2 linked regions of the Coturnix japonica genome follow. The protein of the gene in region 1 purifies or fractionates together with the protein of each later gene. This does not show direct contact. Links are inferred from orthologs where the notes say so. Each region holds a gene or a part of one and is shown in the gene's direction. Other genes may lie near its edges.

Region 1 (7,511 bases):
TGTCTCGCGAGTGGCATAGGCACCATGGCAGCACTGCTGCAAGGGAAGCAAGAGCAGCTTTGAAACAAAGCGAAGCAAAACCAGGGCCACACATCTCGGAGGGTTTGACTCGAGGAGAAATGCCTGAGCAGGGAGCCCATTAACTGTTAGGAATTCAAAGCAGCAAGGATGATACAAAGCACCAAATCATAGAATCATAGAATTGCTGGGGTTGAAAAGGACCACAATGATCATTTAGTTTCAGCCCCCCTGATATGTGCAGGATTGCCAGCCAGTACATCAGGCTGCCCACTGATGTTTGCCCACTGCTTTCCCCAGCCCAATCTCAGTCACAATGCAGCACCCAGCAGTGAATGCAGTGTGGCTGTAGCCCCTCTTACGTCTCCTTAGCCAGACTCTGCTCCACGTCCACGTCCTGTCTGAGACCGCCAAGAGCCTGCAGCAGAGAAGGGCGAGGTGAGAGCCAGCCCTATGCCTGGCCCCGGGCCACAGGGAGCTGTGGTCTCACCTGGTTGCCTCCGGGGGCAAGCAGCAGGAGAGCTGCACCCAGCAGCATGGTCACACTGCAAGGACCCATGGTGCTTCTGCCTGTGCAACAGCCTTGCACTGCACTTTGCCCGTGCTGTGTGGTTGCATGGGGGAGTGGTGTGGGTCATGTGGGTGCGCCCCATCATGCACATGGCACATACACCCTGCAGTGCACTGCAGCAATTGAGTTAGAAGCTGCTGAGGGCTGTAAGTTCACAAACTTAGTCCTCAACACCAGGGAAGTTAAATAGGTCAGCTGAAATAAACAGTGAAAGGACTTTTCAAGGCCTTTTTTAGCCTTTGTTCCTCCTGGTGAGGATGGGGACGAAGCAATTACAAACCTTCAGCTTCTTGGATAAATGCCATACCAACAGCCTCCTGTGATTCCATTGTTTTACTTTATGGACCATTTGTTGAATGTCACAGTTGTAAGGGGACCACAGGGACAGGGAGCTGTGAGTTCTGTGCTTTGCTTTGCACCACCCCTCTTTTCTCCTTTTCACATCCCATTACATTGCAGGCAATGACAAACACTCCTGCTTGGATGCAGTGACTGATAACAATTGCTGGTGCCTTCTGGTCTTGCGCAAGTCTGCTGTGCTGACATTTAGACCTTCTTACGTGGGCCTTTAAATCCTCGGGTAGCGCCCTGTCCAAAGCAGATTGTGGATGGGATCCTGGAACAGAGACACCAGTTAACATGCATTTGTGAGATCTTTGCCCTCTGTTATCAGCAGAAGTCCTGCTGATAGTCAACTAGCAGCACCGGTCATGCTTTAAAAGAACAAGCTGACTTAGCCCAGGAATGCAAGGCAATGGTGTTGGAGGTAAAACAGTAATCTTTTGGGGAACATGATACAAATACAAACTGGACTAATCTCTCCAAGATACAAGCTGCAAGTGCAAAGGTGTGGCCCCATGGGCAAATAGAGGGGCAGGTTTCTGTTGGATGGACCACGCTGGCATCTCAAACTCAAAGTACAAGCATCCCTTTGCCAACTGGGATAGTTCAAGAAAGAACATGACGTTCTTAGAGGCCATTAAAGTGATCAATAAATGATTCAGGTGCTGCCTCAGTGACCTTTTGATCAGAAACTTTTGCCTGTGCAGGCATTTGGCTCAGACCTGGATTTATAGAGGCGTTTCTCTGGTACTGAAGGGCTGGCTGCAGGCTCTGTGCTCTCCATGGGTACTTCCATATGGTCCGTCTCGAGCTGCTCCGAGGTCTCCATGCTGACATCCATCAGCATGCTCCCATCATCTGTGGGACAGCTCACATGCTTGGTACCACTGCAGAAAGAAAACGTGACATCCATTCTCAGCAGCTGAAACGCGAGCAAGGAGCAAAGAAAATGAAAGGGATTTTAGAGGACTCTAGAAAGGAATGGGACAGCAGAGAAGCACATCACTTGAGCATGGAAAAAGCAGCTGTGCTGCTGCCATTCTGCAGTTACCTCTTCACTTTCTTTGGTCTATCAAATCGGAAGTCAGCAGGGTATAAGTGAGCAGTGACCAAGTGATCCTTCCTGTCTTTGCTGCACTTGAACTTCTCTGCACAGCCTTCTACCAAGCACTTGTACTGAAAGAAAGGAAAGAAAACACCCCCTGGGAAGGGTGAACAGCCAGTCCGTGTGGCAGCAGGGGCCGGGCCATGCCCTCACCATATTCTGCTTCTCAGCCATGATCTGGAAGAGCGAGTCGTGCCACTCGGAGATGTGGATGTCCAGAAGGTGCCCTGAAGGGAACGACCGCCTGCAGAAGGAGCAGACGTTGCGGTGCAGCACGTTGTAATGGTGCTCGTAGCCCTCAAGTGTATCGAACACCTGGGAGCAACCGGAGATGTGACAGCAGAACTCAGACACCCTGTAAGGGAAGGACAGCACATTAGTGCATCCTCAGCGTGTAGTATATTATACGTTTAAGCCTTATTACAAGGCTCTGCCCCAGATGCTCGGGTCCCTGTGAGCTCGCAGGGGGCCCAGCAGCTCCGTGTGCAGGGCAGGGTCTCAGTGGGGGCTCATCTCTTGTCCCATGCAGCTCACCTGGGCCTCTCCGCCTCCTCGGCGCGGCCCGTGAGCGCCTCCCGCAGGTACAGGTGTCTGTGCACGTCTCCATCCTGCAGCGGGGGGACATGGCAGTCATGGAGCAGCCTGGCCAACGGGCCGCCCGCCCCGCTTGGCTCGGCCTCACCTCGAGCAGGGGGTGCTGCGGGTCCAGGCGCAGGCGGCGCGGGCAGAAGGCGAAGGGAGCCCGCGGCGGGGCCGAGGCGGGCGGCGGGGCGGGGGGCAGCGGCGGGCGGTCCCGCAGGCGGCGGCGGAGAACGGAGAGCAGCATCGGACCGGACCGGGCCGCGCAGGCGCCCGTAGCACTTCCTGCGGCAACGGCGGCGGCTTCCGGGCGGGTAGGAGGGATGGAGCGGGATGGGGACGGAGAGGAGCCGCGGGACGGCGGGGTGTGGGGCGGCTGGATTCGTTCTGTGCGTCTGCTCTGGGTTCTGTGTGCGGGGAGCCGCTTAGAACCAGCCCGGTGTCGTCGTTTGTAACGCTGTGGTTCCGATCCGGACAGCAGGCCGCGCTGAATGCAGCCGGTCGGGTCGGCGCTCCACACTGAGGCCTCCCATAGTGTCTGGAAGGCAAAGAAGAGCTGCTGCCCACGCTTAGGCCTGGTCTGTAGCAGGGCAGTAGCGTGCAGGGTGAGGGGCTTGTCTTACAACTCCCATAAGTTTCTTTGTGCCCATCCAGCACACCCTATGGGCTTATAGTGCAGCGTTATTCTTGTGCTTACACCAAAGCACTAACGTAGCTCACTGCCTTTCTTCCTGTATCCAATGTTAGGTTGGATTTCATTCGCGCCATGAGTGAGTTCCGCATCCACCACGATGTCAACGAGCTGCTCAGCCTGCTGCGTGTGCACGGGGGTGAGGGGGCCGAGGTGTACATCGACCTGCTGCAGAAGAACCGCACGCCCTACGTCACCACCTCCGTGTCTGCTCACAGTGCTAAGGTGGGCCAGAGTAATGGCATTGCATTGGTCCCTCGCGGAGTTATCCATCCATCAGCTGAACATGAGCCAGCGTAGGTGACCATGAAGGCCGGTGGCATCCTGACTTGTATCAGAAACAGTGTAGTGGGCAGGATCAGGGAGGTAACTGTCCCTCTGTAGTTGACACTGAGGCTGCACCTTAATGCTGTGTTCAGTTTTGGAACCTTCACTACAAGAAAAACATGGACGCCCTGTAGTGTAAGGCAACAGTGCTGTGAGGGGTCTGGAGCACAAGTCTTGTGGAAGCAGCTGAGGGATATGAGATTATTTAGCCTCAAGGAGGCTCAGGGGAGACTTTACTGCTCTATAGCTCCCTGAAAGGAGGTTCTGGGAAGGTAGGTGTTGGTTTCTGCACCCAGATAACAGCAAAAGGTTGAGGTAATGGCTTTAAGTTGTGACAGGGGAAGTTCAGGTTGGGTATTAAGAAGAACTCAGAAGGAGTGATACATTCCAAATCAGTCCATCTTAATTATCAGTGCGAGGCCAGTGCCGCATTGTTCAGTCCAAGACCTATTCCCTGAAGCACTTTGCTGGCAGCAGTGGCCTGCACCTTGTTTCCCTCCTTGCACAATGCTCTGCTCTGGAATGCTGGAATGATAATCTACCTTAAACATTAAATATTCCTGTGGTCTTTTACAGGTAAAAATAGCAGAGTTTTCTAGAACTCCTGAAGACTTTTTAAAGAAATACGATGAACTGAAGTCTAAGAATACAAGACATTTAGATTCTTTGGTGTACCTGCTCTCAAAGCTCACAGAAGACAAAGAGGTTTGTTTCTGTGTTAGAACTGAGCATGTTATAACTCCTTGGTAGTAGCAACAATGCAGTGGTTTTAAATATGCACGCTGTCAGATTATAATATTCATTGGAATACAGCTTTGCTGCAGTGTGTGCTGACCAGTGCTCACAAAATTTCTTTTGTGTGTATACAGACACTCCAGTATTTGCAACAAAATGCTAAAGAAAGGGCGGAACTCACAGCAAACGTGGCAGCTGGTGGCAGCACAAATTTCTCCATCCCCTCATCTACTTCCAAGATTTCTCTGCAGGAACTTGAGGAGCTGCGCAAGCAGCTTGGCACCGTCACAGCCAACTCCAGCGCACAGCAGGTACTGCCCCTCACCTTACATGTGAGATCTTTCCCAGCTGTTGGTATGTAGCTGTGCTCTTAACTTTTGACATCTAGGGGAACTGCAGATATTACTATCCATCTAAATCTGCTCTCAGAATGGTGCTAGTCAAATTATATTAAATCATTGTGCTGTTATTCCAAAAAGTGGCCTTTTTATTGAAGTCAGGTAAGGTCAGGCGAGTTTAGGCCACAGCAGTTCTCACTGGGGCATAGTGACCTTCAATGAGAAGAAAATAAAATGACCCTCTGCAGATCCCATTTCACATACATGTGGAGCTTAAGAAATGGCTTTCATAAGCATGTCCCCTTTTGGCAGCTATGGAAAGCATGGCGCTTTTGGCAATTATGTAGGTTATACATCACCTCTCCAGCTGAAAATTAGTCTTTCACCATAATTATTTTACTGACAGAGATCCAGAGCCATGAGTGGAGACTGTTATGGTCTTGTAAAAGCTCACTTCCTTCACAATCAGAGCAAAACCACTGTCATTTTCCACTGGTGTATTATCTTGATGGCATTTCATGTGCAGCTACTCCACGGGCAGTGTGCTGAAACTGATTTCAGAGGTGGTCATTAGCCTGTTTGCAAGTGCTCCTTGGATAAGATGTTGCTGCTTTCTTCTTCTGGAATTAATTTGTTGGCTTTTACATGGTGGAGTTTGCAAACTAATAAGGTGACTGGAGCTTGTAAGCGTCCCGGTTTTGCTCCTGTGTGTATGCCACAGCACCAAGGCTGGTGGGAGGGGTATGACAAGGCATTATGTGATGCATCTGCCAATAAGAAGATGGCCAACTATATAAAATTCACCTCTGCAGCACTGAGACCAGTAGCCTGAATGAAACCAAGAGAGTACACCTACACTTGTTCTACTGAAATATCAATTATTCCACTTTCTATTCTCAAATTATCGGTTTACAGTCAGTTTCTCCTTCTTCATTCTTCTCTCTTTTTCTTTTTTTTCTCAACAGCCCCTTGAGCTTACACGAAAAATGCTCCGAGATAAGCAAAACAAGAAGAATTCAGGCCAGCCTGTTCCAGTTCTTCCATCCTGGGTGTATGAGAGGCCTGCGCTTATTGGTGATTTTTTAATAGGCACTGCTCTAAGCACTGACGTAACGGTACCTATAGGTATGTGATACACAGTGAAAATGATGTTAACGTGATACGTTTTGTACTTGTTCAGAAGCTCCATTCAGATTCTGTCAGAACTAGGATGAAAGCAAAAGTTGCCTCCTTGAAATCTTCCCTAAGAAGGTAGATGCACCTGCAGGAATCCTGTAGCTTCCTCCTGCCATGGATTTGTGCCTGGTCTAAGGGACACATGAAAACAGTGATCACAAGTAGTTTCATTCTTGAGTGTTTCCTCGTTGTCAAATGGTTTGTGAAGCTGCATGGGGATTTTAAGCATGTTGGCAAGACTGGAACTCAGATCCAGGGTAACTGAGCCTATTTGGGTGGAAGAGCAAACAGTGCAAGTGATGTTCTCTTGGCCATGGTTGATGGATGCTTATCTCTGTCCTCTTGATTTACTTTGGGTTTAAATGATGAGCAAAGGCTTCTGTTTTCCTGGACAGCAAGGTTTAAGATTTTGGATTTGACTGTAACTCAGTTTTATTTCCCTGTATCTTGGTTCAGCTTTGTATAATCTTCCCTTGTTCTCTTTGAGTGGTAGTATGTCATCCTTTTAGGCTTCATCATGAATGGAAGATCTGGACGTACTGCAGCATGTTCTGGTTATGTTCTTTTCTGTTGTCTCTTTGAAAACAGGTACTCTGCCATTAGCATCCCAAGAATCCATGATTGTGGAGGACTTGCTGTATGTTTTGATTGGTGTGGATGGAAGATACATCACAGCACAGCCTCTTGTTGGCAGGCAGAACCGAACATTTTTAGTCGATCCAAATTTGGACTTGTCCATCAAAGAGCTGGTGACCAGGATTCTTCCTGTAGCAGCAAGTTACTCTGCTGTCACCAGGTACAGAGCTGTCATTTCCTCCCAGTGGGGGATATTTTCCTTCAAGCATCAAGCTGCAGAACATGGAATCTGTCATTTTGCAGATGATGATGTCCAAGCTAGATTTAAACCTGTAGGGATATAAAATAAAGAGTAGTTATTTATTTGAAATGGCTTTGGCTACGTATGTTTGTGCTGGCATTTTCCTTCACCTTTCCTTTGCTTTGTCCAACTGAGTTGGTACAGGCAAAGTTAAAATGTCTGCTTACTGTGGCTTGTCTAAAGCATTTTCAGGAAGTGATTTGTCCAGCATCTTTTGCCTGCCTTGAAAATACTGGCACTTGCTTTTTTTACAGTGGATTTGCAAGTAATTATAGATCCCCTTCAACTCAAGAGGAAATGCTTTTGCACAGCTTTTTATACTAAGTGTGGCGGTGAGAAGTAGGCAGGGGCCAGAGAGCAGTTGAATGTAAAACTTAGCTGAAAACTGATAAGTTTTCCAATACAGTGTCTACTCTTGTGCTTCTGTAGTGTCCTGAAATTAAAATTCCTGGAAATGTTGGAAATTACCTTGTCTAAAAGAGATTCCATTTCATGTTTTATAGGTTTGTAGAGGAGAAGTCTTCCTTTGAGTATGGACAGGTAAATCATGCGCTCGCTGCTGCTATGCGGACTCTGATCAAGGAATACATGATACTGATTACCCAGCTGGAACATCTTCAGAGACAGGGACTTCTCTCACTGCAGAAGCTCTGGTTTTATATCCAGCCCACGATGAGGACTCTAGAGATTCTTTCTTCGCTTGGTAAGTGTAAAAAATTCAGTCATTATGTTTAGACAGGTGCATGACAGTG
Region 2 (7,438 bases), on another chromosome or scaffold:
TGTTTACATGGGAGGACAGTGATAGGACAAGGGGGAATGGTTTTAAACTGTGACAAGAAGGTTTAGGTTAGATATTCGGAGGAGGTTTTTCACTTAGAGGGTGGTGACACACTGGAACAGGTTGCCCAAGAAGGTTATGGATGCCCCATCCCTGGAGGCATTCAAGGCCAGGCTGGATGTGATTCTGGGCAGCCTGGTCTGGTGGTTGGCAACCTTGTACATAGCAGGGAGGTAGAAACTCAATAATCATTGTGGTCCTTTTCAACCCAGACCATTCTATGATTCATTCTACGATTCTATGTCTATTGGCCACAGCACTAACCATCAGCTAAACTGTCACCTAAGGTGCATTAGTGTCAAATACCCTCCCTCAATAAGATCCATGACTACTACCAAGCCTGTTTTACTTCAGTCATTTGCTGTACCCATAGAAAGACTCAAAGAAAGGAAAGTTAAGATAAAGACCCTCAAATTATTCTAAGTAACTAGTAGTCTTCTCAAAAAGAGCAAGATTATTGGCCTTTCCTCCCTTATGTTAATTCCAGTCTGTACCTTTCAAATAGTACTGCCTTTGCCAGCTCTATCCTTCTGCAGGCATCCCAAAGATACTTATGCTTCGCAAGTCCCAATACTGTACACTCCAAGAAGATAAATAGTACTGTGACAAGAAGAAGGAGATACAGCCAGATAACAGTTATTGGCAAGGCATTTTTCTTGCTTCTGCTGACTGCTGTGTCTGGCTGCCCTCCAAACTGCAATCAGAGAGATCTGCAGTTCTTAAAATGAAAAAACAGCAACCAGAAGTGGCTTCATCTAAATACTATATTCACATCAGGAATAAGAAAATGTATGTTGAAAAACCTGAATGAAGGTTCTTTAACAATGTAAGAAATGTCACTAAAGCAAATGAACAGTGTTCTGCTATTCAAGCTAAATCAACAGCATAAAGACAGATGGTAAGTTACCTAGCGTGACTCAAATACATTGCTTGGCGTCGGATATCTTCTGAGTCAATTTCCACAGGATTTATTAGAGCAAGCTGATCAATAGACCACCTAAATTTTCCTGGTGTCTGAAAAAAAAAGAAATAGTCACGTGAATACTTGCTGGTCTGATAATGTTTTTTTAAAAAAGGCAACTAATTCAGACTTTTTTTTTTGTCTTGATGGTGGAATTAAAATTAATTATGAGATAATATTAAGCAAAAGAGTACTACAAACAATTAATAACTGAAGTGTCATGTTATTCCCCCTCCATTTCTGAGAACAGGCCTACTACAGATCTGAAACATGGGATTAAGTTTAGTTGCTTCTCCATGGCCACAATGAAAACTGTGGCTCCCTGAAAGCACTTCAATAATCATCCAAGCCAGGATATCGAAATAATACAGCAACCTTCCTTTTACTTTACATTTCAAAGGAGACAGAGGACAGTCTAGAAGCAGGCCACAAAGGGCACTGTCAGGCATAGATCATAAGATCCAGTTTGGGAACAAAGCAGTCTCATCCATTGAAGTAGCACTTCAGTACAAAATAGTGAGCAAGTAGCACTTAGAAAAACGATCTAACAAAACACTGTCTTTTTAATCTCATTATCAAGGTGCGAAGACCAAATTACAGCGTTAGCATTAAAAGAAGCTTACTGAGGTAAATGAAAGAACCACAAAACACCCCAAGTTCTTTGGGTTTGCATACATTAAATCAAGTAAATACACTGTGTTACGTGTTTTTATGTGTCGGCACTACATAGAACAGAAAATGAGCTCTTACAGATGAAGATTTTGTTGATTTGAAGACGGAAGGACTGGAGACAATCTGCTCCTGAAGGGTGCAATAATCGCTGGGGCTTTCGAAAGGATTCAGAACTGTGACCCGCCCAGGAGTTTCGGGGCTGATCTGCATTTGGGCTTCTTCTGTATCGCCCATAGCAGTGAAGCTGTGCCTGGGGAAGAGAAACAGAAGGAAATGTGAGGGGAGGAAATTACCATTCTGACTCGTTAGGGTCATTCTAAGAATTTCAACCCATGACCGGTCATTCAGAAGAGACAGAAAACTCATAACGGCAAAGCAGATTTTGGCTTGGACCAGTGAGAAGCAGATAAACGAGGCTGGTACAAAGACGGAGCCTAGAAAGCAAAGCCAAAGGAAACGAGGTACTGGAAACCAGCATGGAGGAAACCAATCGCGTTCGTGCCAGGTGCTCCCGTACCGAACGGCGGGGCCTCAGAGGAGTTGTCAGCCCCACAGCGAGGCGGCTCCCCGCTCCTCACAGGCCGAGGAACGCACACAGCGAGCAGCAGAGGCCTAAAGCCACGTATTCACGGGACAGCTGTACCAAGGGCCGCCACCACGCCACCACCCCCCCACTCCTCAGGCCCAGCTACCGAAGCCCCGCTGCCGCGACGCGCACTCATACCCGACTCCAATTAAAACTGCCCGCCTCCGCCGAGCCGGGCGGCTCTTTAACCACCTCCCGCCCCTTCCCGAATTCTGCCCAATCAACGCGCGCCGCAGCCGCCGGCGAACCAATCGTAGGCTCCCCTCCGCTCACGAACGGGCCAATCGCATGCAGAGCCGCTGCACAAATTCGAACGTTAGCCCGCCCCCCACCTTCCTGCTGTGAGCGGGAGGTTCCGCTTGGGCCTGGTGCGGAGTCCCGGAATCACGTGAGGTTGGGGTCGCTCCTTCTGCTTCCGGGTGGGCGGTCGCCATGGCGAGCAATGCCGCCAGCCTCAACGCCGTGAGGGAGACGATGGACGGTACGAGGGAGGGGCGGGAGGGGCCAGTGGGGTTGGGGATGCGGCACTTGTTTGTAGATACATTGGTTTGCTTGAGGTTCCATAACTGCCACTTCCATGCTGTACAGTAGAAATTCAGCTTTGATTAATAACTTCTTTGATCGCTGTTGGGGCTAATTTGCTTTCTTTTTCCTTGCAGTTCTGTTTGAGATTTCAAGAATATTAAATACTGGGTTGGATATGGAGACCTTGTCTATTTGTGTGCGGCTTTGTGAGCAAGGCATCAACCCAGAAGCACTGTCTTCTGTCATTAAAGAACTGCGTAAGGCTACAGAAGCTCTAAAGGTAATGCCATTCCCTAAAAAGCACACGGTTTTAAAAGAATCAAATCTTTGGTTCAATTTGCTGTGCTTCTTTTCCTTTAAAATTAAGAAAAAAATCAACAAAACAGATTTCTCTTCTTGGTGCTTTCAGCCACTATTTCCCTTTATCTGCTTCATGTCCTGACTGGACTGTAGCTTTCTTCTTCAGCCCATATCAGCTCCTTATACACCCTCAGGCCTCATAGTATGTATCACAGAATTATCAAGGTTGGAAAAAGACCTAGAAGATCATCCAGTCCAACCATTACCAATACTTCCCAGCTAAATCATATTCATCAACACAACATCCAAATGTTTCTTGAACACTCCCATGGTTGGTGACTCCACCACCTCCCTGGCAGTGCATTCCAATGCCTGACTACCCTTTCTGTAGCAACACTTGTGAACAAGTTCATGAAGCTGTTGTGGCTAACAGTCTCCACACATTGCTGTCACCTCATTAACCTGTGCTTTACGTCTCTCCAAAGACAAATCACAGCATTTCATGGTGTGTGTGCATTGTAAGTACTAAAGTATAAAAAGCCACATGTAACTATTTGGTTAATAGGGAAAATAACTATAGTTAAAAAATTCTCATTTGCCCTTTAAAGGATTTTGATGCTTTGCTGTCTACCTAACCATCATGATTCCTTCTCCACTACATCTTATGTTGTTTATTTATCTGTTTTTGAAGGCTATGTTCTGATTCTTAAAGAACTCAGCTTTCAGATTTTACAATCAGACTTTTTTTTTGCATAATTTAAATTTTTATTTTATTTTTTTATAATTTCAAACTCTTCTATACTTGTGTGTATTTTTTATTTGTGTATGTGCTTAAATGTGTGTACACAAGCTTAATTGTGCATATACATTGTTGAGGGATGTTCTATTTCTTTTCTATTTTTTATGTCTTACTTGTGTTGCTTTCATTTCTCTTTTTATCTCATATCTGGGCTTCAAATCTACAACATAAATGATGTCTGCTTTTGGTGACAAATTTTTTTTTTTCCCTAGGCTGCTGAAAATATGACAAGCTGATGTGATAGAATCCTTCTTCATGAGAAGAGTTCGAAGTTGTAGAGCTGATAAAGAATTTGAACATTGGCTGCTACTTAGAAATACGAAGTCAAATTATATCTGGAGGTTTCAGAGTATCTCTAAGTCATCTTGAAAAAGGCAATGTATGGAAGAGCTTAAAGTTGGGTTTTCTTAAATAGGCCCACCAGTAATCTTACCACACTTGAATACTTGGTTATTTTTATGAACCAGGGGTGAATTTTAGTGTAACTGCCCTTCAGCATGTAGGATTTTTAAACAGTGTCAGAGATTGAAGGTTTGCTGAAATTACTAGTGTGTAACAGTGAATGTTATCACGAATATGGCTTGTTAACGCATTCTTTAGAAGTGCTATTGTGTTCTGTTTATTCCTGTTGTACTAGTGTGAAAATATGTGGATGCTTTTATCTGTGGTAAAGGTAGGAAAGAAGTCCCTATTGAGCTGATTTTAATTAGAGTACAGATGATGACTTAAATGACTTAAGTCATGTTCTGAAAGTAAGAAATAAAGCACTTTTGATTATCAAGATAATGACTTGTCCTTCTAATTCTGTTGGAAAAAGAGTTTTTAACTTGTTTTAGAAAGGAATTTGGATGTATGTAAATTTGACATGTAGATAACGTGGAATATCAAATGCTGTTTGCGTATGTTCTGAACACTCAACCTGAAAATATTAAGCATATATTGTTAATTACTAGTCAAAGCATCTTACAAGTAGGGGCTGATTTAGTTGTGTTAAACAGTCACTTGGTGTAGGGGAGTCTTCTCCTTCAGCACAAACAATATCCACTGATGCAAAAACAAATCTTTCTAGTGTATGCATTAAGCTACTGAACAAATTATCATTCAGTGAATCTTTTGCATCCAGGAGTTATGCTTCTTCATAGGAAGAAAATTTTCTTGTGTTTGTCCTCTGCTGCTGTTTTAGCTTTTCCAATTTTTTGTTAGACTGTTTTCTAAGTAGTGGTGTTAATAGAACCCAAAGCAGGCTGACAGGGGAAGCACACGTAATAAAGATTCAAGGTTCATCTTTTGTGCGGACGGAAAAGTTCTTTTGAGTTTACATCACACATTACTCTATCTGGGTCACAGCTTTAGAAAACATGATAAATATCTTTTATTTCCTATTACTCTGGCCAAGAAATCACTCCAGAAAGGTGTAGAATCTGTGTTAAAACTTCTGAATACTGTGTGTAATGTTTTCAAAAGTATTAAAGAATCTACTGTATGGAAAGATTGACAATAAATGTATCCTAGAAAAATGTGAGAAATCAGCAAAGACTGAAAATGTTAAAATACTTAAAACAAATAAGCAGTTGGTTATTTCACGTTTAACTGGACTCAGTGCTGCATGTCAAAACCAGAAAAGTATTCTTGCAGTGTTGACAGGTTGTCATTTGTTTCTGAAGAGAATTGCGGAACTAAAATTTAAACAGCAAATGTATCCTCAATGCTTCTGAAATTAGAGTGCTTGTGCATTGGCAGTGTATTTTTCAGTTCCCAGATGTTTAGGTAATATAGTAATTCTGATGGCTTCCCTTGCCACTCCTATTCATCACTTTACTGCTGAAAATACACAAATGTTTCTAACTTCTGTTACATTTATTGTGGTTTCAGTGTTGATTTTATGTCCCTGAAATGTTTATAATCAGCTTGCAAATGCAATATGAGTGCAGTGCTGCCTAGGTAAGTTGTGCTTGCCATTTTAGCATTGATGAACTTGGTTTTTACGCACTTAAGCCTTTTTCCAGGACACTATGTCTCAAGCAGAATTATAGAATCAGGGCATGTTTTAGACATTCAAAACTTAATTTGACAGATATAAAATTGTATATAATACTTTTCTTATCACATAGAGCAAGTGGTAATGTTTAACTTAAATGTAGGGAGTCAAACACCTTGAAGTCTTGAAAACAAGAATAGCTATACTGGTTCCAGCTAAAGGTTTTTTTTAACACAATAGCTTTTCTTCTATAGTCAAAAGCAGATGCCTGAGGAAGAATAAGAACAATGCAAGCATGTTTGGTTCTTTTCCTTCTGTATTCTAGCTTCCAAATGTCTTCTATTCCAGGCTTTCCTGGACATCATATGGTTTGTCTATTAGCAATCTCTAATGCTGTTTTTTCCAGTACTTGTCAAGTTTCCCTATGACTGTATATGCTTCTTGAATAAAAACAGCTTGTATCAAATGATGTCTGTGACACAGGGAACTGTTGCCATTTGTTTATTTTGAACCTGATTTTTACTATCCTTATGTTCCTATGCAGTAGACATTTTAAGTATGGTGGTTGTGCCAGTCATGATTCTGCAGGTATAAAATTTACATTTAAATTTCCTCTTGGTTCTACTGTAACTAATGCTGAAATATGTTAATTTAAATATTCTTTGGCTGCTCAGAGGTGTGGAATAACTTCTGCATTTGAAACTTTTCTGTCTCCTTTTTTGAGAAGGGAACCTTTAGATATGCAGACTGGCCTATTCACTCTTTTAATTCCCTTCCTAGGATCCATGTGTACCCCTTTTTTTTTATCTATACTGAGCTTTGTCTGCCATTTTATTTCCTAATCAGTGTCATATTTTTGGAGTATCTCACAGTTTTCCTGTGGTTTTACTGTTCTAAGTGCTATATGTAGCATAGCTGTGAGAGCTTAAGCACAGTCATGAGTTTCATGGGAACATAGGTGGGTTCTTTAATTACTGTTCATTATTACTTACAGGTGTCTGTGTGAAATGGAGGTAAGGTATGTTTGAATTTATGAAGGACAGTTTTGTATTAAAGTTGTTGGCGTAATTCAATAAAAACAGAAATGCATTGGGTTGTTACCTCTTTTGCTGTCCTGTTGGATATGAAATAAAAATGTCATTAAAAATATAAAAGAACAAATGCTTAGTTTTCAAAAAATGGTAAATTGAGAAGGATTTTTTGGAAGAACATCAGTAGTTGCTCCAATGAAAGCGTTTCCTAGGGAGAGTTACTTATTTTTTAGTAAATGGATTTATTTTACAGACATTATGAAGAAAAAAAAACATAGTGTTCACTTCCAGACTCAGAGTTATATATCCAGAGAGTTGTCATGACAGAAAAATAATTTTTGCGAAAGCCATAACATCATTTCAAGACTGGAAATCTAGTCTTGTGAGGTCTTGAAGAACTTAGTCTATGCAGTTTCTCAAAGAGAAGTTGAGGAGAGAGATAATTGTGATGCGTTTATCCATAAGCATGGTAAGAAATCCAATGGCTACCTCTCTGAATTGAATCCAACAAAGCAAATATAGCTGATA

What was found.
Region 2: the proteins of TUBGCP2 (region 1) and MZT1 purify together in Homo sapiens (affinity purification with mass spectrometry; 4 studies listed by BioGRID and IntAct, counting the BioPlex papers as one, with this or other methods). This does not show direct contact. The link is inferred for Coturnix japonica from reciprocal best matches to the Homo sapiens genes TUBGCP2 and MZT1.

The regions. Positions count from the first base shown.
Region 1 is NC_029521.1:5,964,679-5,972,189, forward strand, and holds the start of TUBGCP2 (gamma-tubulin complex component 2), read left to right. Parts: upstream 1-2,862; 5' UTR 2,863-2,929; intron 2,930-2,935; exon of another isoform or gene 2,936-3,220; intron 3,221-3,362; 5' UTR 3,363-3,381; coding exon 3,382-3,531; intron 3,532-4,209; coding exon 4,210-4,338; intron 4,339-4,502; coding exon 4,503-4,679; intron 4,680-5,671; coding exon 5,672-5,831; intron 5,832-6,470; coding exon 6,471-6,678; intron 6,679-7,262; coding exon 7,263-7,462; intron 7,463-7,511. Other genes in the region: ZNF511 (zinc finger protein 511), read right to left, coding at 1,136-1,205, 1,654-1,818, 1,983-2,107, 2,190-2,391, 2,571-2,644, 2,719-2,862. UniProt on the Homo sapiens protein: Component of the gamma-tubulin ring complex (gTuRC) which mediates microtubule nucleation.
Region 2 is NC_029516.1:140,207,584-140,215,021, forward strand, and holds MZT1 (mitotic-spindle organizing protein 1), read left to right. Parts: upstream 1-2,608; 5' UTR 2,609-2,709; coding exon 2,710-2,758; intron 2,759-2,936; coding exon 2,937-3,082; intron 3,083-4,113; coding exon 4,114-4,137; 3' UTR 4,138-6,348; downstream 6,349-7,438. Other genes in the region: BORA (protein aurora borealis), read right to left, coding at 966-1,072, 1,770-1,925. UniProt on the Homo sapiens protein: Required for the recruitment and the assembly of the gamma-tubulin ring complex (gTuRC) at the centrosome.